4 linked regions of the Rhinolophus ferrumequinum genome follow. The protein of the gene in region 2 purifies or fractionates together with the protein of the main gene of each other region. This does not show direct contact. Links are inferred from orthologs where the notes say so. Each region holds a gene or a part of one and is shown on either strand. Other genes may lie near its edges. The genes, in order: CDC26, CDC27, CDH1 and TTK.

What was found.
Region 1: the proteins of CDC27 (region 2) and CDC26 purify together in Homo sapiens (affinity purification with mass spectrometry; 12 studies listed by BioGRID and IntAct, with this or other methods). This does not show direct contact. The link is inferred for Rhinolophus ferrumequinum from reciprocal best matches to the Homo sapiens genes CDC27 and CDC26.
Region 3: the proteins of CDC27 (region 2) and CDH1 purify together in Homo sapiens (affinity purification with western blotting; 4 studies listed by BioGRID and IntAct, with this or other methods). This does not show direct contact. The link is inferred for Rhinolophus ferrumequinum from reciprocal best matches to the Homo sapiens genes CDC27 and CDH1.
Region 4: the proteins of CDC27 (region 2) and TTK purify together in Homo sapiens (affinity purification with western blotting; 3 studies listed by BioGRID). This does not show direct contact. The link is inferred for Rhinolophus ferrumequinum from reciprocal best matches to the Homo sapiens genes CDC27 and TTK.

What each region holds. Positions count from the first base shown.
Region 1 is NC_046295.1:65,171,661-65,179,287, forward strand, and holds the start of CDC26 (anaphase-promoting complex subunit CDC26), read right to left. Parts: upstream 3,130-7,627; 5' UTR 2,949-3,129; intron 1,299-2,948; exon of another isoform or gene 1,271-1,298; 5' UTR 1,242-1,270; coding exon 1,189-1,241; intron 735-1,188; coding exon 584-734; intron 1-583. Other genes in the region: PRPF4 (U4/U6 small nuclear ribonucleoprotein Prp4), read left to right, coding at 3,283-3,309, 4,051-4,231, 5,954-6,140, 7,440-7,527. UniProt on the Homo sapiens protein: Component of the anaphase promoting complex/cyclosome (APC/C), a cell cycle-regulated E3 ubiquitin ligase that controls progression through mitosis and the G1 phase of the cell cycle.
Region 2 is NC_046304.1:41,231,106-41,238,672, forward strand, and holds the start of CDC27 (cell division cycle protein 27 homolog), read right to left. Parts: upstream 3,182-7,567; 5' UTR 3,043-3,181; coding exon 3,016-3,042; intron 1-3,015. UniProt on the Homo sapiens protein: Component of the anaphase promoting complex/cyclosome (APC/C), a cell cycle-regulated E3 ubiquitin ligase that controls progression through mitosis and the G1 phase of the cell cycle.
Region 3 is NC_046298.1:18,074,377-18,081,567, reverse strand, and holds the start of CDH1 (cadherin-1), read right to left. Parts: upstream 3,219-7,191; 5' UTR 3,097-3,218; coding exon 3,043-3,096; intron 2,164-3,042; coding exon 2,049-2,163; intron 1-2,048.
Region 4 is NC_046286.1:39,445,443-39,453,448, reverse strand, and holds the start of TTK (dual specificity protein kinase TTK), read right to left. Parts: upstream 3,121-8,006; 5' UTR 3,043-3,120; intron 2,783-3,042; exon of another isoform or gene 2,672-2,782; intron 1,890-2,671; 5' UTR 1,888-1,889; coding exon 1,749-1,887; intron 1-1,748. Other genes in the region: uncharacterized protein LOC117015595, read left to right, coding at 3,121-3,494, 3,713-3,926, 5,300-5,374.

The sequences.
Region 1 (7,627 bases), on a different chromosome or scaffold from region 2:
TTGTTTTAACATGTTAAATGTCGGAGGCTGAATGATGACCCCCGAAGCTATCAGATCCTAATCCTAGAAATCTGTAAATGTTGTCTAATATGGGAAAAGGGTCTTTGCAGATGTGATTAAGGATCTTGAGATCCTGAATTATCTGAGTGGACCCTAAATGCCCTCAGATGTGTCCTGATAAGAGGGCAGAGAGAGATTTCACAGACACAAGAGAAGAAGGCAGTGTGATCATGGAGGCAGAGGTTTGAGATCCGGGGGCCAACAGAAGCTGGAAGAGTCAAGGAACAGATTCTCCTCTAGAGCCTCTGGAGGGGGCGTGGTCCTGCTGACACCTTGATTTTGGTCCAGTGATACTGATTTCAGATTTCTGGCCTACAGAACTGAAAGAATAAGTTTCTGTTGTCTTAAACCACCAAGTTTGTGGTAATTTGTTACAGCAGCCACAGGAAACTAATACATTAAATTGGAAATGCCTGTAAAGAATCTAAATAGAGATTTCAAGTAATCTGTTGGTATAAGAATCTGGAGTTCAAAAGAGTTATTGTTTTAAATATTCCTAAGTATTTGAAAGTTGTACTCCTACCTCTAGGTCCTTTCGAATGTTTTCAAACTCCTCAATATCATCAAGCTTCAGCTCCAGGCGGGTTGGTTTTCGTCGCAGCATGCTGAAATCAACACTAAGAGCCAGACCCAGTGAACTATTAGCTGTTAAAAATGGCAGAGAGGAGGAAAACCTGAAGGGGATAAATCTCAGCTACAAATATCAGATCAATTTGTAAGCACGCATGCTAAAATGAATGGCAAATAAAAGACTCATTTAGATTCACACATAGACTTCTAAGTCTTTACGTGTCTGAATATTATATTTTTATTACATGATGGAGATCCAAAACTCTGTAATTCCAAAAAACTGTTTCTTCAAGAATTTTAAGTATTTAAATAGCAAGCTGCCTATAAAAGAATTCTAGGCAACAATCACTTTAATCTCATGCTCCAGTCACATTCAAAGACATATTCTAGCTAAGAGAATAACACTAAAATATCACATCTTAATGTAGTACTATTAGTGGGAGAGCATACAAACCATTAAATTTGATCAACTCTACACGAGAATTGTAAGAGATTTGTGATCACTCCTGAATGCTAAAATCAGTTTACTAAATCTAGGGAAAACTCCCTCTAACTCACCAATTCACAGGGTTATCTTCAGGGTCAAAATAGGTCCTACATGTATGGGGCATTCATTAAACAAACACTTCTTGTGCTCCAGCTGCAGAGTTAAAACGCACAGTCACAGTCTGTGGGGAAAACAAACACGTAAACAGAAACCTGCATACAGTGTACTAAGAACTCTGGTGCAGGAAATGCAATGGCATCACACAGGCCCAATTCATTCTGGGCTGAGTGTGGGGGCAGACATGGAGGATTTCCTGGAGGAGATGATGTCTTGGTCGGCTTGGGAAGGGCAGGTAGGGAAAGGGGATTAAGGGCATACCAGGCAGAGAGAACAAAGATAAAAAGGGGCTCAAGAGTCCACACCAGTCTGAAAACGCAAGGTCATGCTTACGCTAACAAAAAACGTTTTTTGGAGGAAAAAAATATAACTCCCGCACTGAGTTTAAAATCTGTTGATGACATCTTTATATTCTCCACCAAATCCAGTAGAGTGTATCTATAATAACTAGGCAGTAAACGTTTTGTTGAATAAACCAGAGATCCAAATAAAGTGAAGTGAACTTTCCTTGAGCACTGTGGTATGCTTTTCCATTCCCATTCTTTACACTTTTATTTTAACACAGAAACCCTGTGAGGCTGGCAAAATTACCCGTTTTACAGGTGAAGCCAAAGCTGCTCGGTTTGGTTAATAAATGAAAATGATGTAAGTGAAAGCTCCTTTATTTATAGATATCAATTATTATTACATGTATCTAGGATGTAGCTAGGGGCTGAAATATAAAAAGAAAATGTTTCCCTCTCCCTCCCATGAAGCTTGGGATACCTACAGGTGGTATTATCAACCCAAAACACTAGCACATTACATTTCAAATCGCTTTATACTAAATCAGATACTATTTTGATTCCAATGTAGATAAATGATACTGGAAGCCAAAGTTCAGGGGAGGCGGAGATGTTTAAAAGAAAAACACTACTTTGCACTGTCTTATCTTTTCAGCAAACTGAAAAGCTTGTCACAAGGTAGCGATATAGGGTAAAGGTACTTGCTCTGGAGGCAAAGGGCAGAGGTTCTAATAATAATCTGTTTATTTTAAACAATTAGCTTCATCTTTCACAAGATCTTAGTTTCCGTATCTGTTATTGAAGTAAGTTCCTGGAATGTAATTTGGCATTCAGTAAATGCTCAATAAATAACAGCCATTATTATTATTTTAACTGTTCTTGTGGAGAGGCAGGAAACACCTCTGTCCAGCTCTGGGAATCACCAGTATTTTGAGCATCTCCACCCCCCGACATGAGGGCAAAAACCTCGTCTCGTTCGTTTCTGATGCTCCAGCACCCAGCGGACCACAGGGCCGTGGCAAAGTTGTTTGCGTGCATAACGGCTCACATCCATCATCTTACTCTAAATCTGATACGAAGACCAGGCTGAAGACAACAAAATCAGGCCGTGGCTCCTCCGCCCGGTCCTTATTTAACTTTGGCGCTAGAGGGCTCTTCGAGCTTAATCTCTAGCTGCTGCCCAAATTCACCCAGCTCAGAGGGGGCCCCCGGGAGAGAACCTCCCTACAGCGGAGAAGGAAAACAGCTCTCCCGCCGCAGCTCCAAGGTAGCGCTCACAGGTCTACCGCAAAGGTTTCCATAGCAACATAGTCCCAGCTCCAGGACGACGTAAAGCCTCTCGTAGGGCCGGGAGGGAGGGACAGCAGGCCCCGGAAGCCCTCCATTCGCTCCCGAGTTCAGCCCGGAGCCGCGCGACTCGATGCACCTACCTCTTTACAAGCCTGTTCAGCCCCTTCGCGGAACCTCAGTGCCCACCACGAATCTATGCCAACTGGACTACACTTCCCAGACTGCTCTGAGCCTCTCTCCCCGCAAGACCTCGACCTTCGCGTGCGTTTCTCGGAGGCTATACGAGTCACACCTCTCGACACGGCCACAGTCTTTCCTACTACGATTCCCAACATGCTCCACGCCTCCCCGGACGTTGAGTCCACTCGGCCCACTTCCGGTGGGTGACACAGTTCCGCTTTGCTGGGCGCGCGTTGGATTGTCTGAAACGTCGATTGCAGCTTTCGCTGGGACTTCGCGGCTCCGGAGCCCAGCATGTCTTCCTCACGAGCTACCTCCACGGTACAGATCTGAGCTCACCCTAGCGGGGAGCGCGGCGCGGGTGGGGGTCCCTGCGGAATGGGATGGATAAGGCGATGAGGGGCCGAGGAGGAAGGCTGCGAGACTCGGTCTTAGAGAGCCGAGCAGCGTTTTCCTGATGGAGCGCTTTCATGTGCTTAAGCTCAATTGCACGTCTCGTACTGACGCGAATGGTACACACCTCTTCCTACTGGTCCAGAAACGGAGCTCAAGGAAGTAGTGTCCTGGCCAAGATTTATGTCTGTGTCAGACCTCTTAACTGAAGTGAGGCCTCCAAACTACCTACCGGTGTCTAGTGCATCTCGTCTGAAAACGTTTGAAATGTAGAGGCCAGTAACTTGGTAACCTGCTCCCCTTCACACCGCGTTGGTTTTTTCAGTTATCCTTGATAGTTCCCTTGTGATGAGCAGTAACCCTGGAAGTTTCATAAAACCCAACAAGAAATTGCACTTCCAACCGATTGAATTGAATTAAATTCCAAAGCAAACCTTTGACAGAAAAATCACCAAGAGAAATTCAGGAATTTTATCAACCTCTTTCTGTCTGAGACACCGAACACCCCTACACCAATCCCCATCAGTGAAGACACATCTTAACTGGTGCCCTCCTTGTCCTTTCCTTTGGGGAGGAAATAGAATTAAAGTCAAGATGAGCTTCATCCTTTGGGGAAACCTAGCAAATTGCCAAGATTGAGCCTTAGGTTAATCCAGGTTTATGATTTAGCAGGCAGCCAAAACTAAGGCACCTGATGACCTAGTCGCGCCTCTGGTGAAAAAACCGCACATCTATTATGGAAGTTTGGAAGAGAAGGAGAGGGAACGTCTGGCCAAAGGAGAGTCTGGGATTTTGGGAAAAGAAGGACTTAAAGCAGGAATTGAAGCAGGAAATATCAACATAACCTCTGGTAAGATGCAAATTGTGAATCCATCTTTATCTTTGGTGCTCAGATTTTCTGCAATGAATATCTTCCTGGACAAATATCACTATTAATAACGTGTCAAAATTTTCAGTTTTTAAACTTACATCTGTATATGGCCATACTTTGCCTACTCTGCTTAGCATCGTCCAGAGAGCCTTTTGCTTAACACCTTTTAAAGAGTTTTTCCTTCCATGAATTGTTAGTGATTTTGCCAAGAGTTTATTCAGTGTGTATAGCTGACCCTTGAACAACACAGGTTTGAACTGTGCCAGGTCCACTTATATGCAGTGTTTTTTTTTTTCAATAAATACTGTAAATGTATTTTCTCTTGTGATTTTCTTAATAACATTTTCCTTCTCTAGACTATTACGAGAATACAGTACAAGTACATATAACATACAAAATATGTGTTAATCGACTGTTTATGTTATCGGTAAGGCTTCCAGTCAACAGTAGGCTATTAGTAGTTAAGATTTGTGGGAAGTCAAAAGTTCTATGCGGATTTTCAACTGCACGAGGGGTTCCCCCCACTATCCAACCCCACCTGGCTACGTTCAGTAGTCAACTATATTTGGACTCAAATTGATTCCATTTATCTTCTGGAGATCTAGCACAGCTCTGGCACTGGTTTGGAACTACTGTGGTTCATAATATTCTGTTTTTAGTTTCCCAATTATTTTTCTCCCAAAATGAAACATATTTTTTAAATTAAAAAAATATTAGTTATTTTTATTTTGAAAACTAATCAGTGTAGAAATGTGTGAAGTAGTAAAACCTTTCATCCTTATTACTTGGGTCTGTATCTTTCCAAGAATTTAATAAAGCTATAAAAATACATAATTGTTTTCCATAAAGGAAGCCATGATAGACAGATTGTTTTGTAACCTACATTTTTCATTCTGTACTATTAATGATATCTTTCCAAGTCAGTAACTATCATCCACTATATTTTTAAAATAAAATTATACATGTTTGTAATAAGAAATTCGAACAGTACAGAAGGGTATAAAATGAAAAGACTTCTCCGCAGAAAGGGCTTCTGTCAAATTTCTCATTGATCCTTCGACACTTTTTTTTTTCTATACACAAGCACTTTAATGGCTTTTTTTAACCTTTTATGCTTTTTTAAGCATAACTGCATCACCACTATACTTACCATTTTTCATACAAATGCTTGTATTTCGTGTGAGTTTTTTAACTGGCTGCTAGAGAATCCAAAAAGTCTTCTAGTCAATCAAGGAATATCATTTACATGGTAATTATTTGCAGCTTACTAGATTCATTTCTAAGTGTCCCCATAAGGGAACTGTTTTAGAGAATAGCTTTGTCAATTGTTAAAATTATGTTTCTGTTTCATCTTTTGCATAGAAAGCCTAGTTAACTCATTTGCTAATGATGCCCCATACTCCTTATTTTCTTATCTCATCTAAGCTGTGTGTTTGTTTATATAGGTATATATAGGTTTAAGATTGCCAGATGAAACAAGATGGCTTGAACCATTTTGCTGCCTTTTAAAGCTGTGTCATTTAGTTTTTTGTGTGTGGCGTAAGTTAATAAACTGAGAAACTAAGTGTATAATAGATTAGACAGTTAACTTTCACTAAGGGCATACGCAGACTCCAATTGTAAGAAATTATTTCTTTTTTTTAATTTTTTTATTTGAAGAAGATCTGGTGATTATGCTGATGTTGCCTGTTCTCTTTATAGGAGAAGTGTTTGAAATTGAAGAGCACATCAGTGAGCGACAGGCGGAAGTGTTAGCTGAGTTTGAGAGAAGGAAGCGAGCCCGGCAAATCAATGTTTCCACGGACGACTCAGAGGTCAAGGCTTGCCTTAGAGCCTTGGGAGAGCCCATCACACTTTTTGGAGAGGGTCCTGCTGAAAGAAGAGAAAGGTACCCTTTCTAAACATCTACTCTCTTCTTTTTTTTGATCACAGGGTTCTAGTTCCAAATTTATGTTGTTATTTGTAGCAAAAACTTTTAATAGAATGTCTCAGCTATTGTTAACAGAATATCTTTTAAGTTGTGTTTATATCAATCTGAGTCTTAGGCCAATTTTTACTCCACTACTAATTTTCCTTTATAAACTGCAAAGAGGGTGTTAACATGTTTCCTCTCCCCTTCCCAAAGTGTAATTTTGTAGTTGAACTTTGAAGATTTAGACAACAAATGCATTCCTTGTCAATGACATAAAACATAATGACAAGTGGTTTTTGGATATTACTGAAAAGGGGCATTGTCCTCAGATAATGCTCCGCTTGTGCTTTTAACGTTGCAAAGCTCTTGGTGACAGGCTAGTCATATGCAGTGATGAGGCCCTCTTCCTGTCTTTCTAGCCACTGTCCTACTCTCCCCATTATCATTTTTGTTTTCTTGGTTTGCATAGTCTGCGTGTTTAATCGCTTCAAAACCTTTAGCATTCTCTCATGTCCATTAAATAGAACCAACAATGCTTGGCCTGTTTAAATTACAGGGAATAAAAGTACCACTTCTCTTGTACTCCATACTTCAGCCACACTGAACTATTTGTGATTCCAAGCTCAACACACTTTTCTTACCTCCAGACCTTTACATCGTATTTTGAACCCTCTGCCTTAACAGTCCTCTCCCATTCTTGGCCTGTTGCCCCGACCAGATGATTACTCAGGTTAGGTAACACCTCTATGAAGCCTTCCCTGAACCTCCCTCCAAACCTAGGCTAGGTACTCCTTTTATGTTCCCCCTTAGTACCCTATACTTAACCACTGTCATAATACTTAGTATAATGTATTATGGTTCTCTGTTACTTTCTGTCCCCATTCCCCACCCCCCAACCCTGCTCTCTAGAACTCTGCTACTTGAAATCAAAAACTGTTTTCTTAGTCATTGTTGTATGTTAAGCACCTGAGTCAGTATCCAGCACATGTGGCATTGAGTGAAGGTTGGCTGTCTCCACAGACCGAGGGATAGCAATGTTTTGGCTAGTTAGCGCTACATTGAATAGGGTAATTGTGTATAGTTCAATTTAAGGAATCTTCAAATAAAAAAAGATTGAGTGAAAGAAATCACACTGGAAGTGTAGGCATGACATCTTGACTCTTAAAGAAGGTTGCTTGCAGTTTGAATGGTGAGAGTAGGGGAAGCTTGTCTCCCTTCTTAGATGTACTTTTCAAAATCTCAACTCTGTTTAAATTTCGATCTTTTTTGTTACAGGTTAAGAAATATCCTCTCAGTGGTCGGTACTGATGCCTTAAAAAAGACCAAAAAAGATGATGAGAAATCTAAGAAGTCCAAAGAAGAGGTAAGATATGTCTTTGCCTTCATAATATAAACATGAAGGAAATGAGGGAATAGTTCTCTCATAGGATGTGGATGGGCGTGGAGGGTTGTTTTTGAAGACT
Region 2 (7,567 bases):
AAACGGTATGAGGTGTATGGTACCCACTTACTATACTGCTTAGTAAGGTGATTTTCACAAGGCTTGTTTACAACTTCATCTAACACTTCTAACTGTGAATCCCTACTCCCAGGAATAATTGATAAATCTATTAAAATGTGTTTGCTTTTTTAGATCAATTTCATCAGGTGAATTTTATAAACATCCAAATTAGCACTGATTGAACTCATTTATGTGAGTTTCTTTCCCAAAGTTATATTACAAATAATTAACAGAATTCTGTCTCATAATAGGAGAGGTTTTTGTAAAGATTTGAGGGGAACCAAAGTTTTGCCAACCCAAAATATGCCTTCTGGCATAATGATTTTAAGCTGGTTATTAAGAAACAAAAGACTCAGAACCTTTGACTCTCCCCCCTTACCTGTCTAAAGGAATTCAGATAGAAAAAGAAGGGGAGCATCACCTTCTTTTAGCCTCAATATAAACTAAATGTGGAAGAAAGTGAGAAGCCTAGCAAAGCCTGTTTGTTGAGCTTCCTTCTGTGACCCATTGTTTCTGGGTAGCCCAGCAAGAATTTGTTTACCACATGTTTGCTCTTTCTTGTCTACCTGTGAATTGCCTACTTTCCTTTGAAATCCCAGACCCCTGCTCCACTTCACCTTTGTCTAAAATGGCACATAAACCTCAATTGTCCAATGTGTCTTCATGTCTCATTTTTATGACACCCCGTCATGCACATCTGTAATAAAATTTGGACATTTTCTCCTGTTAACCTGTCTCATGTTAATCTGATAATTAGCCCAGCTAGAAGAAAACAGAAGGTGGGGCAAAAGTTGGTTTTTTTGCGCCCCCACAGACAAATAACACTTTTACTACGAGAAATAATATGGAGGAGCTTATATTTAGGCTTACATGGTATATCACACTGAGTACCCCACATTAAAATTTTAAAGAAAAAAAAAGCAGAAAACAGTTGCTCACCTTTTCTCTCAACTTTTTCCTATGCCCAGTAATACCTTGAGTTATGCCAAGAAAGGAAACAACTTTCCATCTTACTCTCATTCCTATACATATGCATACAATCACTCGCCAGTTAACAAAAAAAATAGTACCTTATTTATCTGTCCTATTTTTATTTTCCTCCTAATTCTTTCCATTTTCAGCACTATTCCTGATTAAAGTTGATCTTTATCACTGTAGCCAAAGTTGCTTGTTCCTCCCACTGCTCCAGATCCCTTCCTGAATGGTATCTTACTTGTATACTATAAGTCACAACCAAAATTCTCACCTAGCCATATCCGAAAGCTTCTTACCACCATCCCTGAATCTAATGGGCCAAAGGTAGTGTGAAAAAAAACCCCAAAAAAAACAAATTTGACTTTTAAGCCTTAAAAATACCTAAGTGTATTACTGCCAAGAGTAGTTTAAGGGAAAAAAAAAAGGAAACCTGAGGAATACTGTGTAGGAATAGCTTATATATTTCTTTTCTTCTCCACATTTTTATACAAGTTGAAATTATTATTAAATAGTAGTTATAAGCTAGCAATACAACTAGCTTATCATTTTAGAAGCCTTTTGGGGTAAGAGAAGGCAAATGTATCCATTATTAAGGCAAAATTACAAGAATATGAGACAAATTAAACAACTGAGTGATCTACTTATCCATTTAAGGTACAGATAGCAACTTCTAATTTCATGTTAGGCCTCAAAAAAAAAAACAATCTTAAAAGGGACTCTTTACTAGTAAGAGGAATCTGGATGTTAAGAAATAGCTTTGGAAGCACTAGTACAACTTACAAACAGGTGAATTTCCTAAACTAGAATCCTATATTATATTAATTCAACCAATAATAGCTGCTATATGTAAAGGGCTAGAGAAGAAGCCAACTAGAAGAAATTGGTATTTCATCTGGTGAAGAAGAATTAAGGTAATACGAAGGGGTAATGTATTAAAATATTTACTATTTGCTATCACAGGCCTATTAAGGGTAATATGAATTAACTTCTAAACTCGATTTGCTTTATAACTTCAAAATAAAGAAAGTCCATGACTCAATGACAGTAGTTGATAGAGGTCAACTTTTTAAATCAAGTCAAAGATCAAATGGTGGATCGAAAGTCTCCCAGACCAGACCTGGTCCATCACCAAGGGACAAAAGATTCAGTTCCTTCAGATGGCAGGGGGGAAATGACTTGGCACTGCATCGCACACTTCAAATCCAATCGGGCTTCTTCCATGCCAACAGAGCAGCGTGCGTCAAAGCATACCTTGGTGTGGTAAGGGCAGTGAGACAGACGGAAAAACCATTCTTGGTCTTTCATTTCCTGGACGCCTTATAAACGTGAACTGAAACATTCTTGATCCCCATCAGAGGCCAAGGAAAAAACCCCCGATTTGCCGTTTCCACCCTCTCCCCTTGTATAGGTGCTTGCACCTCAGCACTAGGCCTTGGGAGTTCTCAGATTATTGTTCAGTGGGAAATTCACGGAACGAGAAAAGCAACGTGGGCTACTCAGTCTGTTACCAAAATAGAAATTAGTATAAAAAATACCGATCCCTCCAACCTCTCACAGAAAGACAAAAACCAAACCGAACCACCACCACCCCCCTCACCAACTTGCCCCACCATTATGAAGACCGCGCAAGCTCTGATCAAATGTGCTTCCCAATCATCCTTTAGGTAACAGAGCACCTGGGGCGAGTTTCCCCCGCCACCCTCCGCCCACCCTCATCTCTCACCCCAGCCAGGACCAGGCCCCTAGACTGACAGGAGGGCTAGCCGGACGTCGGCTCGGAAAGGAAGGTATTATCGCCGAATGCCGCTCACACTAGGGGCAGAAGTAACGTAGGCCCAGAGATAACACGGCTTAGGTTGTGGGCAAGGCCTCCGAACTGACGAGAAGACAGGCAGGACCGGGCATAAGGAGAGGCGGGAGAAGCAGCCGGGCCTAGGCCGCACCAGGCCGCGGAGTAGCCATACGCGGCTTCCCGACTGGGGCCGCGAGCCAAGCCTCAGAGAAGGGGGTTATCATTACCTGGACGGGTTCCTGCAGCACCGTCATCCTTGAGGCTCAAACCCACTTTCTGCAGTGCCTCAGGCCCCCCCCCGTAGCGGCTCCGGCCCGGCCAGCCCCGGCTCATTTAAACTCACCAGCGACCGTTACCGGGGGATGGGGGCGGCCGAGCGATTGCCGAGCACCTCCGAGCGGGACACGGAAATACCCGAAGTGAAGAGATCCGCGCGGGAGCCAGACGGAAAAGCCCGAAGGAGGCCGGAAAAACCCGAGGCGAACCGGCGGAGGAGGAGACCGTTGCCGGAAATTGTCGAGAATTGTCGGAGACTACCGAGTCTGACCCAGAGCATAGGTTCCTCTTCTCGGCCCCGCCTCTACTCACGCACGCCACGCCCAATCGTCCACCCTCGGTTGGGCCACGCCCAATCAGCACCCAGCGGGCTGGGCGTGTCGTGCTGGAGCTGGAGGGGATCGTTACGTGGCCCGGCTGCCGTCTTGATTCGCCGCTCAGCTTTCTGGATTAATTCGTGTGCGGTCGATTAAGCAAAGGGTAAAACTCGGGAGTTTGAGGCTGAGTTTAATTAATCATGAAGTATTTGCCTATTGAATGCAGGTCATTTATCCATTCCAGAAGTATCTCTTCATAGCTTAGAGGGAAATAGGAAATTTCCATCCTTCAAAGTTTTAGTATGGCCCCTGTCCTCAAAGAGATTACAGTCTATTTAAGGGAAAAGTGCTGCTACCTTGTGTGGGGCCCATTAGAAATGATGTAAAAATTCAGAGAAGAGGGAAATTAATTGGGATTAAGATGAGGAACTTTTCACAGAAGGAAAACGGGATAAATTGGGATTTGAAGAACGGTTAGAATGAGAAGGGGAAAAAAAGGAAAGTGAAGGAAAGCAGAAATGAGATCAGTCTGTTAAGAGTGAAGGCATTAACTGGAAATATTACGTGACCAGATCATGGACAATCTCAAAAGACAGGCAGAAATTTTTATTCTTGATTGCAGAGGCATTCTGGTGTATTGGAAAGAGTGTGGGATTGGAAAGGCAGAGGCTTGCTTTTGAATTTAATCTCTGGCGCTACTACGTATTTTTAGGACCTTAGGCAAGTTATAAACTCTCTGAACTTCATGTTCTTAGTCTGAAAAAAATAAGATGAATATATTAATGTATGTGGCTGTCTAATGCAGTAGGCTCTCTCAAGTTACTTTTATGCCCCTTCCCCCAAAAAATACGTGAACCAGAGAACTAGTAAAACTTTGTTTTTCAGGAGATGAGAAATATCATTTTTGAAGGTTAATTTCCCCCCTTCTTCCACCTCCCCGCCCCCACTCAGGTTCAAGCCCTTGTTTCTCAGTCTAGTTGGGTAGGACACAGCTCCCTGGCCCAGGCTGGTGTTATGAGCCTGGTGCTTCCCCCGGCTAAGGCAGTCGGTTGCCAGTCGTCAGTCGGCAGCTCACAGCAGCTCTTGCCGGCCGCCGGCCACTCACAATGGCTATAGGCCACTTACGCTGGCCACGGGCCGCGCCTGGCAGCACACGGTAGCCCACGGCCGCACAGCAGCCTGCGGGAGCCTGCCCGCTGCAGCCCCGGCAGCCCACACCAACCTCCAGCTGCTCACGGCTACCCAGCTCCAGGGAGAGCCTTTGTTCACAATCTTAGCTGTAGAGGGCACAGCTCACTGGCCCCCGTGGGAATCGAACTGGCGACCTCAGCGTTAGCATGGCACTCCAACCATCTGAGCCACCAGAAGGTTAATTTTCTAGTTAGAACATTTCTAGGTTACATGTGGTACTCATAGTATATTCCACTGTATGGAAATTTCCCTTTCTGGTTCTTATTTTATACAGATGAAATCAGATTAGAATGGGTCACTCTCTTCCTTTGTGTGACTGTTTTTTTTAAACACTAGTCGACAAAGCAACTGGCATGTCCACCAGCCATCTGTAATCACTGCTTATGTACTTGTAGCCCCATAAAGGGTAGGTGCTAAGGTGATTTTCTGTGATCTGTTCTTTTAACAGGGTTATGCTGGGTGAATTTGAATGGCAATAGTCTTCTACACTGTCCAGTACGGTAGCTACTCGCTATTTTAAAGTTTAGTTAAATTCAAGTGAAATTAAAAATGAAGTTCTTTAGATGCCCTGGCCACATTCCAAGGACTTAATAGACACGTGGCTGACCTCCATACTGGATAGCACAGGTAAAGAATATTACCATCATTGGTCTGACTGGGGCTGAAAGATGCAAGGACTCACATGTTTGAGGACTTGGTCTTAGCTGCTGACTGAGCTCCTCAGTTCTCCACAGCTCTCTTTCAACCTTGGCTTCTCATCAGTCAGTAGTTTAGCTCTAGCTTCTTGACTTGGTGGTTGGCAACCAAGAGGATGAAAGCAGAAGCTGTTGGGCCCCTTAAGACCTAGGCCGGTAAGACCTGGGCCCCTTAAGACCTAGGTCCAAACCCCGTCACTTCTTGTTGGTGAAAGACACAGGGCCAGCCTGCATTCAACTAGAGGAGAAATAGACTCCACTTCTTCATGGGAGAATTTATGGCAAAGTGAAATTCCAAAAGGCATGTGCGATGAGAGCATTTGATAATTAGTCCATCTTTGTACATCTACCAGGTACAAGATGAGAAAATCTGGTAGTGGAAATGGAAAGGGTAAGACATTATTCTTAAAATCTGATGCATTTAACTGACACAACTCTCCAGATTTATTCTAATTCAGAATGCAGTAAAACTACTTCTTTATTATCTGGACACTTCTATTAAAATAGACTCAAGTGGTATTTGCATTTCTTAGCAGTCACATGACACTTCACTCATGCTAAGCTTGTGTTCATTTTACAAACACAGCTCTTTTTCCATAGAATGTGCTGCCAACCCAAGTCTTACACTTGTGCAATGAATTCTTATAAACTTAAATGAAGGAACTTAAAATACAGGATCCATAAAGATGATATTGCTATGTGTGTGAATATGTGTATCTAGAGTTAGCATTTAAACAGTCTGTGATGTTTGGCACTCTGGCTCTTAAGCTTAGAATTTGCCTAAAGGTTTTTGCCCCCCCCCCAAAAAAAAGGGCATCTTTTTTTTGACTATTGTTCAGTGGGCTAACACATCTGTTGTAGTTTTCTATGTGCGCAGCAAGACCACATTGTTTGAAGTTGTTCTTTGATGCGATCTTTTAGAGGATTTTTACTTCTTTCTCTGTTCCTGATTGACCTACTTAAACTCACCATCCAGCAAGCACTTGGGCATCCTGCTGTCATCCATTATCCATATATGTTTCACTGGTGAGTGGAGTTGGTTACAATAAGCATTATCCCAAACATGGTAAATTATCTCTCCTCCTTAGCCTGCCTCTTGGTCTGTTTTGTGTTCCATCAGATTTTGAGGCCAGCATTTAGGAAACTATTCAAGAAGCTAGACATGGTATCTTTGGCAAGATGCAGGTACCACTGAAATATAGCCCAGAGTAAGCTTACCTCTGAATTCTGAATTCTGAATTCCTTCAGTCTTCCTTATCTGTCCCCTTCTTTTGTCCCTGTTGCATGCTGCCTTTTATCCTCCTTATATAACATGACCTTGAGGCTCTTTCCGCCCCCCACGTTGGCTCCTCTTGGTGAAATTATCCCTTTCCTTTGTCATCTCTGATCACACAGTCTCCTCATTTTCCTTCTACTGCTCTGTTCTTTATCCGTTTCCTTGGCAGCCGCTCTAACATTAGAATGCTTCTGTTCTAGGCCATCTCACCTTACACATTCTTCCTAGGCAAACCCATCCATTCTCATAATTTTCATCTAAAATTACTCCAAAATCTGTATCTCCAGCCAGACTGCTTCTTAGAACTCCAGACCCAAATGCCTAGTTGTCAACTGGGTGTCTCTATCCGAATATCTCACAGGTACATTGTCCTCAGGGAAACTCCTCATGCCACATAGAACTTGAAATATTTCCTATCCCTGTTTAAGGCATCACCCTCTTCTCCACTGTCCAAACCTGGACCACTCTCTTTCTTTAACCCTAGCATATACTATATTTCTCCAAAAATAAGACCTAACCGGACAATCAGCTCTAATGCGTCTTTTGGAGCAAAAGTTAATATAAGACCTGGTATTATATTATATTATATTATATTACATTACATTACATTACATTATATTATATTATATTATACTATATAAGACCCGGTCTTATATTATGGTAAAATAAGATCGGGTCTTATATTAATTTTTGTTCCAAAAGATGCATTAGAGCTGATTGTCTGGCTAGGTCTTATTGTCAGGGAAACACGGTAGTCACAAAGAGCTATTAACTTTACCTCCTAAATAGACCTTCATGTCTCTTCCTGCTTCCAGTTTTACCTACCTCCAAAAATAAGTCTGATCGTGTCAGAACTCCCCTCCCTAAACCTTACGCCATAACTCAGGATTTCCCATTGTTCTGAGGATGTAGTCCAAACCCTTTAACTTGTCTTGTAAGGCCCTCTAAGGTCTAGGCCTTGCCTCCTTATTCAGCTTTATCTCACCTGTCTCCCTCTTTTACTCTACATTCTAGTGAAGAGATT
Region 3 (7,191 bases), on a different chromosome or scaffold from region 2:
GCGACCCTGTAGTCCAAATAGCCCTCCAAAAGTGAAATGTCAGAAAATCACTGAGTGGGTGTGGGTCTGTGGACATAAAGGGAACGGGAACCGGTCACACAAGCAGTTTCTGGAGACCGCGTCTCCAACCAAGACCACCAGTTGCAGGCCCCCCCCCACCTCCCACCTGGCCTGACCCATCTCCATCACCACCACCTCCTCCTTGGGGTCCTGCCCTGTCGACACCTCTGCTCTTCCAGACATACAGGGAGGAAGACATCTATTTCACAATGGACACCAATTCCCCAGGCAGCCTCTTTTTTTTTTTTTTTTTTTTTTGAGATTACTGAGGAGGGGAGAAAGCAGGAGAAAGACCAGCTGTGGTTCCCTGAGCAACTTACTAAATTGCTTTATGCTTCAGTTTCCTCATCTGCAAAATAGAAATAACAATGGTGCCCACCCTTATAAGGTTCTTGGGAAGATTAAATAAGGTAAAATATGTGACGCACTTGCCCCAGCGTCCAGTTCAAAAGCGAATAATGGTAATAATTATATTATTAATAGGTAATACGATTATTGGTCAGATGTAAAAGCTTGGGTGTGGGGGATAAAAACCGGACTAACTCTCCCTTGGTGCTACCAAATGCCTTGGCGCAGGAAAACAAGAGTGACCAGCACTTGTGTGGGGACACTCCCATTTCTAACCCCTGACCTGCTCTTCAAAGGTGGGTCAACTTTTTATCCTCCCAGAAGCCAATCTTCACAGCCCACTGATACCCATTCAAAACATCCCAAATACCTAACTGCCCATGTCCCACTATGCCCTTGAAGTGAGTCCTAGAACATTCTCAGCAACCTGCCAGAACATGCAATACCGAGGGCAGGACTGGAATGTCCCTGTATGTCAGTTCATTCCCAAGTGCCCAGCACAGGGCCGGGCAGAACATCAAGAGAGAGGCCAAAGAACGGTGGACCCACTGCAAAATCAGGCAGACAACACTTCCTTTCTGACCCAACAGAAAGCTCCACACAACACAGGCCTCAGAAAAGCAAACGTTTAATCAATCAAGGTTCAGTTTCTGTTTTTAAAAAAAAAAAAAAAAAAGCCGCCCACTGTTAGAACTTCCAGAGTTGGAAAACATTTTTCAGACAATAGTGTGATTGGAACAGATTTTTCACGTGGCCAAAGACTGGAAGAATACACAGTGAATTCCCTCAGGGAAATAGTGGGTGATTTTTTTATTTGTTTGTTTCGCAAGTGTTTCCTTTATTGTTATGATAACTCGCTCAATCAACTAAAATCAAAAGGGAGGAGAAAGTGGTTTGGTAGGAAATAAGCACCTGGGAATCAGTGAAACCAGAAAAGAAACCAACCTGCCCTTGCCCTCACTCCTGGGCCACAGTGAAGTAAAACAAAGCAAACTCTAGAATTCTGATTATCACAGCGATAAGGCCCAGAAGTACATTTGTGTTACGTTTTCATTCCCTGAGTCAGAGCTACCAGGTTTTTTTTAAAAACTATTATTCCTTTGGGAAATAGTACCTGTATCAAAATGTTGTCATCTCTATGAGCAAAAGCCAGAGCCTGATAACTGAGAGGGCTCCTCAGTCATCCCAGAGTTGTTGCAGAATGGGGCCTGGGAGAGATGCTAGTGCAAATTCCCACGAAACTGACCCTGAGCAAGTGGACTCCACCCTCTGAGCCTTCCTTTGCTCATCTGTTAAATAAGAATTACCACTTCCCTCCTGCCCTTCCCACATATTAGGTTTGTGCAGTCTGAAACGACAACCTCTAACGTGGTCAGGACACTAGGAAACACACTGAAGGCTCTAATAAGCATCCTCCCCCCCCCAACATAATTAACCGCACCAGGATAGCCCCTTCAACCACAGTGCTCAATCATGATAAAGTTTAGATTCCTACATGTGTGTAAATTCTAAAGGTGTCATTTGAACCACGGAAGAAGGGGCTTGCCCAATCCAGCCCAGGGGAATGGGAGCACAATTTCTCGGATCCTTCCCACTCCCTCCCACCACCCGGCTCCGGGACCCCGGCGGCGCGCCCTCACCTCTGCCCAAGAGTCGGCCTCTCTCCAAGTGCCGCCGGGGCACCGTGAACGTGTAACTTTCAGCGCCAAAGCCAGGACGGCAGGGCTCTGGCTCCTGGCAGAACCATGATGAGACCTGGGGTAGGGGAAAGGTATGGAACCGGGGTGACCTGGGGGGTCCCTCCCAGCCCACACCGAAACCGACAACACCGCTCCTCCCTAGCTCCCGGCGTCGAGATTGTGGGAGGGACCCACCTCCACTCCCCTCCACCCCGTCGGCAGGCAGCCACGCCAAACTCAATCTGAGACCTGCGGCAGCCAAGCCCCCAGGAACGCCGGGGAGAGGAGCCTGCTGGGTCACCTCCTTTCGACCTAGCACCCCATTTCCTTCCCGTCTCCTTTTCCGTTTCACTGGAGCTATCTTTATTCTTCCCAATTCCCCTTTCCTTACACCGGGAACGTTCCCACTCCTAAATCTAGTTCCTCATACCGAAGGCGCTCCAACACCTTTTGACCCCACTTTCTTATCCCGAGGGCGCCCCCATACCTATTTACTACCTTTTCTTTACCTGGTAGTTACCTTTATTTCTATTCCCCTTTCCTTACTTCAGGGATCGTCCCCACTACTTCTGGCTCTCCCTGGACTTGCACCCGTGCTCCCCTTTTCCCCATCCCGACCGCCACCCTGCGCCACCGACTGCCCATACCGCGGCCAACCCGGAGTCCCTAGAGCCTGCAGCGAGGCGCGCCCCCACCTCAGGTCCCCTCGGGGCACTGAGCAAACCGCGCTAGTTCCTCACCCGCTCCCGCTCCCACTCCCATCTCCGCTGAGTCCAGAGCGCCACGCAGCTTCCAGGCCGCTCAGGCTCTTTGGACCCAAACTTTCTTGGAAGAAAAGGGAGCGCGGACGACAGGAGAGAGGAAGGGAGGACAAGAGAGGAAGGAACTTAGGGGCCGGGTCGCGGAAGGTGGGGCCGGAAGGCGTCCCCCGCAAAGCCAGAGGGACACGACGTACCTGCAGCAGTAGCAGCAGCAGGAGCGCGGACAGGCAGCGACACGGAGGGCCCATGGCGGGCCGAGCGCGGGTCGGGTCGGGTCCGGCGGAGCTGGACGGGGCTGGTCTGGCAGAAGTTCCGCGAACACACAGGTGCTTTGCGGCTCTGGACGCCAGTGAGGGGGGCAGCGCCTCAGCCGCCAGGTGAGCCTCGAAGGCCCCGCCCCCGGCCCCGCTGATTGGCTGAGGATGCACCTGCCGGCTGCAGCCAATGAACGATGCGGCTCGGTCCCAGCTTCCTCTGCAGGCAGGGAATGAACGGCCCGCCCCCGATCCCGCCCCGCTGCCTCGCGACCCGGCAACCCGCAGGCGCAGCGGTTGTTAGAATCAGGGTTGCGTGCAGGGGCTCCAGGATTTCGATTACCACCAGGTTCGCGTCCCGGCCTCGCGGTGGGTGCACACTAGCACCTGGGCTTTATCCTTTATCTAGTTCTTTTTAACTGCAGCTCTCCACCGGTTTGTGAGTCTGCAAATCAGTTCATTGGGCAGCACCCACCTTTCTAAGCCTGTTTCTCCATCTTCCAAATGAGATTAATCACAAATGCCTCCCTAAATTGTTGTGACGTTGACATACAATTAAAAGACCAATATTTCCTCACCATAAAAGCTCTGTACAGATGTGAATGATGATAGTAACAATAGATGCTGGGCATTGCAAGTTACTGTACCACGCTCTGTGCTAAGCATTTGACATTGGCCATCTCATTTAATCTCGCCTCCAAACAACCCAAGAGCTTTGTTATTAAACCCATTTGATAGACAGACAACTGAGGCATAAAGAATTTGAGGCCAGTAGGAAATGCTGGAGGGCAGGAACCCAACCTCCTGATTCCAGGGCCATTTCTTCTATTAGCTTCACCTCATGTGGCCCTGGATAGTCTTCAAGCTGCAGCTGTAGTTTTCAATCTGTCCTGTAAATGGTGACCTGCCAGAGACCCTTTAGAGATCATTCAAACGTATTATTTGCAAATAACTATCAATGTCCCATAGCAAGTCAACGTCAAAGCCAAGACTAGAACCCAAGATCTCCTGATCCCCAGACTGGGGCTCTTACCACACCATAGCCACCACTTCCTTTTCTAGAGAATTCTATCCCCAGTAAAATAATTTTAGGATCCAAAACAAAAAAAAAAAGGTATGCAAATGTTAGGTCGGACATCATCCCTGTCTGACTGCCAGGGGCCAGCCGCATCTATGTGTTTTGCCTACCCTGACAAGGATACCATCTTTCCCTTCACTCCGCAAGCATGGTCGGAACTGCAAAACAGTGTGTGGAGTCAGCTGCTCACTAGCTGTGACCTTGGGCAAGTCCATGTTATCATCAGTACAAATGTGTTGAGAGGAGCTGATGCAAGAAAGTCACTAAACGGAGTACTTGGCATCTAGTAGCAACTAACTGCTCAATAGATGTTTAATGTGGAGGTCGTTCTTTGGAAACGACTACCTCCTTTCCCCTTCCTCATGGGGAAAGGTCATGTTTAGAATATTCCATCCAGAGCTAAAGGTAAATCTGAGTCCACTGAAGCTACTTTCTCAACCCCAGAGGAGAGGCGGTGTCTCAAACCAAGACACTATTTCGGGTCAGCTCTGCCCCTCCCCCCTAACCTGTCCCTTCAGTTTTAATGGGTTTCTGAGCACACGCCCAGACCATTTAGATTTCTGCATCTTGTCTTTCTCTGCCTCTTAACCCACCAGGAGGCTCAAAGGGAAAAGGCTCCAGTATTTCCTTTCCCACTGAGGCTCCTGCTGGACTGTGCATTAAACAAGATAATGGAAATACAGAAAGAGGCGTTTCCCCCATGGGGCAGCCTTGTCCGTTTATTTTTTTTCTCCCAGTTATGTAAAAATACATATTTTATACCATCGCTCATCCCAGGGAGCCTTTAGGGCTTTGCTTTCCTCCGTCCAGCAAGCCCTAGCCTTGTAACTCCGCAGCGACTCTCATCGACTCTTCCATTACACTCTGATAATTCAATAAAAAGGATTTTAGAAAACAATTAGGGGCAGTGAGGACAGGTTGGGAGAGACGTTCTCTTCAGACTTCTCGGCAAGTCCTTCTCTAAGCTCCAGGGATTTGGCCGTGAAGGGCTGCCCTCTTTCAGCTGTCCAGGTGAGGAGGGGACACACAGAGGTGCCCTGTGGAGGTGCGGCATTGTGTGACTGTGGGCCTCAGTTTCCTCTTCCATCAAAAAAAGGAAATGCCAATTCTGAGGATCAAATGAGCAGGCGAAGATGAGCCTGTGCTGCTGATGTTGAGCTCTGCGGCTGATGGCGTTGGGTCTCAGGCTGATGGAGGATTCAAATTCCTGTTCTGCCACTAGCTGGGGAGCATGTCCCTTGACCTCTTCAAGTCTGTTTCCTCATCCATAAAACGGGGATGTTGATAGCATTTAATTCACAAGGTTCTTATAAGTGCCCTAAAGTTAGCTGTTAGCACTCTTGGCTCAGTACATTCCTTTCCTTTACCAGTTCTCAGCAAAATTGTGAGCCCTCCTGAAGCCTCCCCACCCCCAGGCTCTCCATTCCCCACCCCCCACCATCAAAGTCTCTTAGGCTACCTCTGGCCTCTGCTGAGAAAACTTTCACACTGACTGGTTAGTCATTTCAACCCTCCCAGGGTCATCTGCATTTTAAAGAGGGTTCTGAGGTGTGCTTCTTTCAAAGAATGAAAACTCTGGAGCTAGTAAACTTCGCCCAGGGTTCTTAACCTGGTGTCGGTGGATGGACTGAGGGTGGGGGTGGGGGGGTCGTGGAACCCCTGAGATTATATGCAATCTTGTCAGTGCAGGTGCTGAGGTCCAATGCCTTCATTAGCGTCTCAACTGGAGTTAAGAAAAATCAAAACCTTCGAGTTGAGATCTCTTTGAGGGCCCGTCTAATGTTAATGGTAGAATTTCAGGCATCAACAGGAGAAAGAAATGTTCACCAGAGTCCTTGCCAGTTGCCCCTCCAGGTAGATGACAGAGCCCACCACTGGTGCTAACCGGGCATCCACCCTTGGGATGACAAACTCCAGGTTTCTTTATTGCAGGCTGTGTCTCTGATGGACGTTCACTTCCTGGATGTCCCGGCAACTGGTCAGCCAGGGATTAAATGATTAATTCCCTGGTCCCTTTCATCTCCTGGCAAAAGGCGGTAATAATAGTACCCTGACTGGGTGGGGCACCCCTGCCCCAGGCTCTGCTGAGAGGAACCCAACCCCCCAGCCCTGCTGGGAGGAATCCTAGGGAAATTGGAGTTGTTAGGGGTTGTAGCCAGATCAGGCTCACTGCAGTGTTGGGAGAGGAGAATCCATTCTACCTGTTCCTGGGGGCTCCTCACACCTCTGCTGGGCTGGGCTGCCTGCCAACAGGCAGGGGAGGGAACTGGATATTCTGCTTCTGCCCTCTGACAAAATGATGGCAACTGATAGGGGTGCCGCCCTTTATGGCTCAGCCGCTCCCGTCTGCAAAAAAACTGTTTTATTTCAAACACTAAGTAAAGAAAACAGTCAAGTGTATATCATGTGTAGTGTAATGAAACACCATGTATCTATCATCTAGCTCCAACAGTTATTTTTTTGTAATTTACATATTTTTATAATTTGTAAACTTTGTAATTGTACCAAATCTTGTTTCATCGTTTCACCCCTGCATTTTTAAAAAATTAATCCTATTTTTTGAAGAGCTGTGCTAGGTTCACAGAAAATTGGAGAGGAAGGTACAGAGATTTCCTATGTACCCCTTGCCCCACACATACATAGCCTCCCCCCTTCAGAGAGGTACATTTGTTAGAATTGATGAACCTATATTGACACATCATAATCACCCAAAGTGCATAGTTTACATTACGATTCATTCTTGATGTTGTACATTCTATAGATTTGGACAAACGTATGACATGTATCCACCATTACAGTGCCAACAGAGTCTCTTCACTACCCTAAAAATCCTCTCTGCTCCACCTGCCTGTTCATCCCTCCCGCCCCCCCGACTCACGTAAACCTCTGATCTTTTTACTGTGGCCATACTTTTGCCTTTTCCAGAATGCCATAGCGTTGGAATCATAAGGTATGTAGACTTTTCACTTAGTAGTATGCATTTAAGTTTCCGCCACGTCTTTTCGTGACTT
Region 4 (8,006 bases), on a different chromosome or scaffold from region 2:
ACAACTTGAATTAACGTCGGTCTCCTATATACTGTATTTTAGTCATTACTAAACATTATCAAATTCTTCCTTCTCAGAGAAACTATCACTCCTTCCATTGGTTTCAGCTACCTTCGGTAAGGACTAAATCCTTACTTTTGTAAATAAAATTACCATTTCTACTTTCTACTAAAACATAGCACATTCATAATTTTGCTTTTCTATTTTACATTTAATCTGGTCTGATCTTAACTTCATTTTCCAGTTTTACCTCCCATTGCTTTCCTAACAAATTAATCTGCAAAGTGTCTAAAAAAGTCTTTACAGATCTATTCCTCATGCCTCTGAGTACTCCTTTCTCCCTCTACTCAACACTTAAAGTATTGTCTTTATTGTGTTAGTATTCCTTTGTTGTCAAATACCTTATAATGTAGCACAGTGGATTCTTAAATGCTTCTCATTTAGAAACCATGATTTTAAGCATCTTTGAATCTTCCTCAATACTTAATCTAATATACTTAGATATAATTAACTCATCTAATACAGTCAATCTAATAATCCTAATTATCAATATATGTTAGGTATTTACAGCTTTGAGTGAGCTAAGGATTTCAAATAAGGATCCATCTACCTTAGTATACAAACTTTTTTAAGCGTTAAATACACATAACAAAGCATGGTGATACTCAAGAATGTGCTTAACCAAAAAATAATTAGTTTGTGGGATGTTTTAAGTGAATATGATCTGCCATTATGACTAGATTACAGGTTCTTCCATTTATTTTCAATTCCTCATCCATTTAATGCTTATACAGATATGACAAACTTATCCAAAGGTCATCTTTCAAATAACCATAACAATCTGAAATATAGTAAATATTTAGGCTTCTGAGCTAGTTTTCATAAAGCCAGGTATTAAAACTTGAGCATTTTCATTCATTCATCATTCAATAAATATTTAAGTGCCTACCATATGCCAGGTACCATTATCAGCTGTGTAGATATAACAAAACAGATAAAAACTATGCTCTCGTGGAGCTCACCTTTTAGCAGAGGACACAGGGAATAAACACATGAGTATATCAGATATAAGGTGATTAGTGCTGTGGAGAAAAACAATACAGGAAAGGAAGAGAGGGGGCACACTCCCACCCCAGCAAGTTGCTATTGCTAAATAGGTGAGTGAGGGAAGCCCTCACTGAGATGACATTTGAACAAAAACCTTAAGGAGGTAAGAATGGGCAGATATCTGGGGGAGCCGTGTTCACAGCAGAGGGCAAGAGAAAAGACATTAGGCTAGGAGGTAGTCTGGCATAAAGAGGAGATAGCAGGGACATCGCTGTGGTTGGAACAGAGGGAGCCAGAACAGGAAAAAATGGCCAAGAGACTAATAGGAACACTCTCCAAATAAAAAACAAAATGTTTGACTTTGAATTTATATATAATTTTAAGATTGTTGAGGATTTCTTAGTTTGCTGCAAGAAAGGAATGGAAAAAAATGGCACAACTATTGATGGCAGGCATATTAGCAGAAATAACAGCTGATAATAATGGAAGAGTTCAGAAAACTACCTCTGAGTACACTGTAATAAATGTTTCCTTTTTCAGAAAGCAGAAAATTGTGGGAATATTTCCATACAAAAGTGTGTACAGTACTCTAATTGGTAAGCATCAATTACTGAGAAAATTATATCACGCAAACACCCAGTGGTTAACATTTCATTCTTTAACCTTAGAGGGCACTCAAAAAAAAAAAAAAAGGAACTCACCTGTGGTATCAGCAGAGATTTTATTCAAGCTTAGCTCATCAGTAAGGTCTTCATTTTTAAATTTATTTTTAAAATCTCTCACTTTGTTGATTATGGAATCAATTGTCAATTCTCTGCCACCCAAATCCTCGGCCTCCATTTCTAAGAAAAAAATAACTGAACTGGTCATAATTCTTATTTTTACTACCATTAAAGAAAAAAAACTTGCAACTAGCCTTTTAGAATCCAGAAGGATAAAGCATTAGTTATATGAACACATCTTAATGCAAATATTATTAAGGTAGTATTTGTGAAGCTATGTGCACAAAAACAACTGCACATATTTGAAAATTGTCCATCAAACTTTCCAATAGGCTAAGTATGTGTTTTCGTCCCAATAGAACTGTGTCATTGTATGATACAGAAATTGCTGTCCCCCTTTAAAGCTTTTCATTTTTCTTCTATACACTGAACACCTCCCTTTCACTCTTTTTCATTTATTTTCTCTGGGTCATCTGCAAATTCTGCCATTTAAAAAAAAATGTGATGGAATGTTTGTTTGGATTTTGTTAGTGACATTTAGACATAAAGAATCCTTTTGGCAATGTGAATAACCATTGCTTTATTCACCTGCTTTATGTGAGTAAACCTGCACAATGCAAAGGTTTTCAAAGCAGAATATATACACCACCACAGCCCTTTATTGATAAGTGGGATCACAGCAGGCTTGTTCTTGCGCATATGTGGCAGAATTAATGATTTGCTAACTTAATCACTCTAATACCAAGACTACTGTATTCATATAATACCAAGCACTTGCTCATCTGCATCGTGGTAATGTTTGGTCAACAAAGAGTCTGCAGTCTTCCTGTCAATCTCATTTTTGTAATTCTCAAACATCAACCCAGTAACCCAGTGTCGCTGGTATCAATGCCGCCACTGACCTTGACTTTAACAATGAAAAGGGGCGATAAACTGGGCATCTAGATATCACCTCTTCAAGTCAGGATCGAAAGGTAACTGTCAGAACACAGCCACCATCTCCTCTCTCTGTTCTAAAACACCAGACAACAGAAGAAGTACCTTTAGGGAGACAATCTCGTGTCCCCAAACTCTCCCCAGGTGCCCCGCCAGACCCTCTTCCCAGCGAGGTCTACACCCACCTCTTGCTTCCTGGATCCTCAACAAAATCTCGGGCTACACCCGGTGGGTTGGCGGAGGCGGCGAGAGCTCCCCTCCCCCTGCAGCTCGTTTAGCCGCGCCCTACGTCGTCTACCCGGCTCTGAGCCGCCCCCGACCCGCCCCCACCACTTACCGTCCCGCGAGCTGCCGCCGTTCCCCGTGCACTTGCGAGGCCGAAATCACCGCCAGAAAGCCGAGTTGAGAAGAAAAAATGGAATCCGAACCCTTCTCCACCAACACGTTTGAATTCCCCCGCCGTTACTGTCGCGGCCTCCTATTGGTCGGTGCTGGCCAAGTGGAAGCGTCTGCTGTGATTGGTTGGTGTGCGTCAGCCCCGCCCCTCCCTCTGCGACCAGCGAGTCCCGCCCCGGAAGGGTCGTCTCCCGATCTGCACCTGCGCAGCGCTTCAGTCCGGGTTCGCTGGCTCTCCGCTGGCACTCCCCCGGCGCCAGGGGCCGGCTTTCCTGCACTTTCCAGTTTAACCAGAGCAAGTCTCTTTCGGGGAGGGAGCCATTCCTGGGTAGAGTCACCCGTTGAGAGGATAACAGGGGCGGAAACGCTGCTCTCAGCATCTGGACCTAAAAGGTGCCCTGTGAGCTAGTCCTTCCCGCCGACCACCACCCCACTCCTGCGTCTTCCAAGCTCCTCACTGCCGAGCGTAGGGAGGATGTGGCAAGAAATGCTGGTTCACAGAGCTACCTTCAGCCCTGCCACCAGCTCAAAAATCTCAGTGCTTTGTCTTGAGATCCCATTTGTGCCCTCATTCTACCCTTAAGTGATTCCATGGTCCTTACCTTCGTCAGAATTCTGCGCAGAACTCCGATGCCCGTCACGATTGACATGTCTGAACTCGGCTTATCAGCGCCCCTCCCTCCGAGCTTGTCCCAAGTAAGGGCTCAGGTGTCCTCTGGGAAAGGTCACTTCTCGAGTAAACTACACGGGTGCGGGGCTCTGATAAGTGGCTTTGTGATCCAGGACAACAAGATGTCTTTTATCAGCATCCTGACATGCTCTATGGTAGGACAGGTTTTCTTTTGTGTATGTGTAGGAAATTAACTGCAGCTGCCACTTATTTAATACAAAGTTGTTCTCAGAGCCCTCGCGTTCCCAGCTTTGGCTAGCAAGAAAGCCCTTTGTCACTTAGTGCACCTGTCCGTACCTGCTGGCTATGTATTTTTGCTTCAGTAGAGCAAAATGATTTGCTACACGGTATCATGATTGGCTAATCACCACCTTTGCACAGTTGCTTCTAACACTGGCTTTAGTCGGAAGGAATTTACCATCTCACCAGTTCTTGTTGATCTCTTAGGGGCCTGATCTCAAAACTCATTTTTCTGAAAATATTGCTGCTGATAACCTCACCCTTACACTCGTTTTTGCACATTCACTCCTTTGGTGATCTCTTTCAGTCATACATATTTAGGTACCATCTATATGTTAATGACTCCCAAATTTATGTCTCCAGCTGAGTTCTTTCTCCTGAACTCCAGACTCATATACCCATTACCTACTTAACATCTCCACTTAAACGTCTCAAATGCATCTTAAACTCAAAATGCCCACAACTTGAGTGCCTGATTTTTCCCCCTTCCTCTCAAACCTGCTTCTTACAAAATCTCTGCAAAGGAAACTTTCATTGTTTTATTTTTAAGCCAAAAACCTTGGTGTCATTCCTGACTCTACATCTAATCATAAATAGTGTCAGATCTAATGAGCTATTCCTGGAATACTGGCACCTCCACTGCTACCACCCTAGTCTCTGGCACCTTCATCACTCACCTGGATTACTGCCATAGCTTCCTGGCTGGTCTCCTTTGCTTCTGACCTTGCCTCACCTCAATTTATTCTCCAGTACAGCAAAGTAATCTTAAATCAGATCGTGTCACTTCTTTGCTCAAAACCTGTCAGAGCTCCTGGTCTCGGGATAAAAGCCCAAAGTCCTTACAATAGTCTAGAGCTGCAATGTTCAATATGGTAGCCATTAGTCATGTATGGCTATTGAACACTTGAAGTATGGCTAGTGCAACCAAGGAACTGAATTTTTAAATTAATTAACCTTAATTAAAGTTAATTTAAAATTAAAACTGAATACTAAGTACAATTATTGGAAAACGTTTAAGTATATTTGGAACAATCCAGGTATGTGAATCTACTTTTTCAAATGTAAATTTTGTAAATGCAGTTAAGTACTTCCTATGAAAATGTCTGAGTTTGATATATACTGTAATTATAAATATATACCACACTGGATTTTGAAGACTTAGTATGAAAAAATGATGTAAAATGATGTTATTGGTAATTTTAAAAATATTGATTACAGTTTGAAATTATATTTGTGATATATTGTGTTAAACAAAATATATTATTAAAATTAATATCTCCTGTCACAGACCAGAGGAGACCAAGGAGACATGACAACTAAATGCAATGTGGTATTGAATCCTGGAACAGAGAGAAGACATTAATGGAAAAACTGATGAAATCCAAATAATAAATAGCTGAGGTTTAGTTAACAGTAATGTACCAGTGTTGGTTTCTTAATTTGAACAAATGAACAACAGTAATGTAAGATCTTAACAGTAGGGAAACTGAGTGAAAGGTATACGCCAACTGTACTATCTTTGAAACTTTTCTGTAAATAAAAAATTACTCCAAAATAAAAAAAATAAATTAAAATTTAATTTTACCTGTTGCTTTTTACTTTTTTAATTTGGGTATTGAAAATTACATATGTGACTCTTCCACTTTATGTCCACAGGACCGCAATGGGCTATGAAATCCTATAGTTTATCTGACCTGTTTATTGTATTTATTTATTTGACTCTCCTCCGCCTACCCTATTAAAATGTAAACTCCATAAGTGCAGGAATTTATGTCTACTATGTTCATTAAAATATCCTTAGTGTTTAGAATGGTGTCTGCTACACTGTAGGCATTCAATCAATGTTAGCCAAATACTAACCTTTATGACTATTAGAGTATTTCAGAATCCTATTTCCAAGAAATATATAAAACATATTTGTATACTTCTTGAGGAGGAAACTTTAACCATTTATACTTCTTGTAAATGCTCAAGAAATCTTTGTACTATGTCTTACACACACTCAGCAACTATTTATTGACAGAGAATATCATGACAAGCTGTTTAGAAACAGTAGGTACAATTTTTGGGTAAGTATTATATTGATTGTATACATGTGAGACATGTAACAATATACCATATTGGGATGAACAGTTTCACTGTAGTATTTAGTTCTCTACTTGTAGGGTGGCCATAGCTCTCCTACTTGACGCAGAATCAATGCCTGTGATTCTTCTGTCCAAATAGATTTTGATCCTTAGCTGCTGCTCAGCAAGGCCATTGCAATAATAGACCAATGAGGAGCCACCAACAAAGAGAATAAGGAAGTGAAGTTGTTCTTCTCAAGATAATATTACAATTACTCATTTGGTTTAAAACCAGCTTCATCTGGCAGTGAATAAACGTGTTTATTTTCAGAGGCAAGCCTTCCATAAAACAATACAATTCACCAAAGGATTTTGATTTTATGTTGAGATGGGAAAGTTTCACTTTTATTTTTGTTACATAAATAAAAGCTTGGACCATGTAACTTTGGCTTGATCATCATGTCACTTTTTTTGCTAATCTGATGATTTTCTGTCAACACAGTTGCCTTTATAATTCAATTATTGAAGTCATTGTTATGAGTTCACTAAGTCCCAAACTTTAGTTTCAGAAACTTTTTCCCATACTTGGATTTACTTTGTGCATGTACAGAGGTTAAATTTCTAATTAATAATCAATGTAGTTCTCACAGCATGTAATAAGTCATGCACTGCTTTCTGGTGATTTATTCAGGGATATGTTATTAGTGTACCTAATTTTGGTGCATATAGGAATGGTGTGAACCTATAAGAATGGTGAGAACCTGAAAGAATAATTTAAGGAAAGCTACATAGCACAGAATGGACCAAGCCTTACCCAAAAGAAAATGAAATGGCAAGGACAGACAACAAAGCACTTCATAGATTATGAAGAAAAACAGCAATAACAGTTTGGATTATGTTCTGAACAAGAAAAGCAGCAGTAATAGTTTGGGACCACTACTTGGACATCAGATATTGTTTAGTTATTCAGGCAACAGATTATATTAACAAATGACAAAAAAAAAAAGTAGAATTCCTATTTTTTTCCTCCGCCATGGAGAATAGTATTCAAACTGGCAATCTTAAAAATGAATTTGTTGAAACTCTTGTCATGTGAAACTATATAGGAAAGCCATTTAAATTTCAAATTATCTGACACGAATTTTTTTTTATTTTAGTCATGTTTTCAATCTCTGCTATCAGAAGGAAACTCACGTAGCTGTGTAATGTACTTGAGAAACTAAACAGAACATTGAAAAAATTGACTTTATAATCCCAGAAACTGTTGGCAGTCTCTGAAAAGTCTTGATAAACAGGAACAGGGACAAAAAATCAGAAATGGAGAAATGTTTCTTTTTAGAAAATGTAGCACTTGGAAGCTGTAGGTCTTTATAATGTGAACTTTTAGCTCAATTCTGGAGAAGCTTATAGAATTGATTGGGAGCAGAGATCTCTAGATACCAGCATGATTCATTAAGAACAACCCATATAGAATATACTAAATTCTCATTTTGATTTTTTTCTAAAATTACGGAAGGCCGGAAATATAGAATATCTTAACTCTGGCAAAGAAAGTGATAAAGACTCTCTTATCGTTTTTCTGAAAAAGAGAGGAGCATGTAAGCTCTGTGCTGTTAATGTGGGATGATTCTGCAACTCTGTAGACCTTAATTCTCAAAGAACATTGCTTAGGAGTTTGAGGAGAACCTGAGGTTGACCCCTAGTGGAAGGCCTCAGAACTCTGTTCTTGGTCTTGTTTTAAACTACATATTTTATCTGTGTGGCAAACATATACAAATAATGATTATTAATTTTGCACATACTAATTAAAGCAAGACCAACATGTTAGAAGAGAATAAAGACAAAGTTAACAACATGGAATGTATAGGGATAAATGTGACACCACACATTACGGCTTACAAAAAAAAAATTCTCAAACATATAATTAGA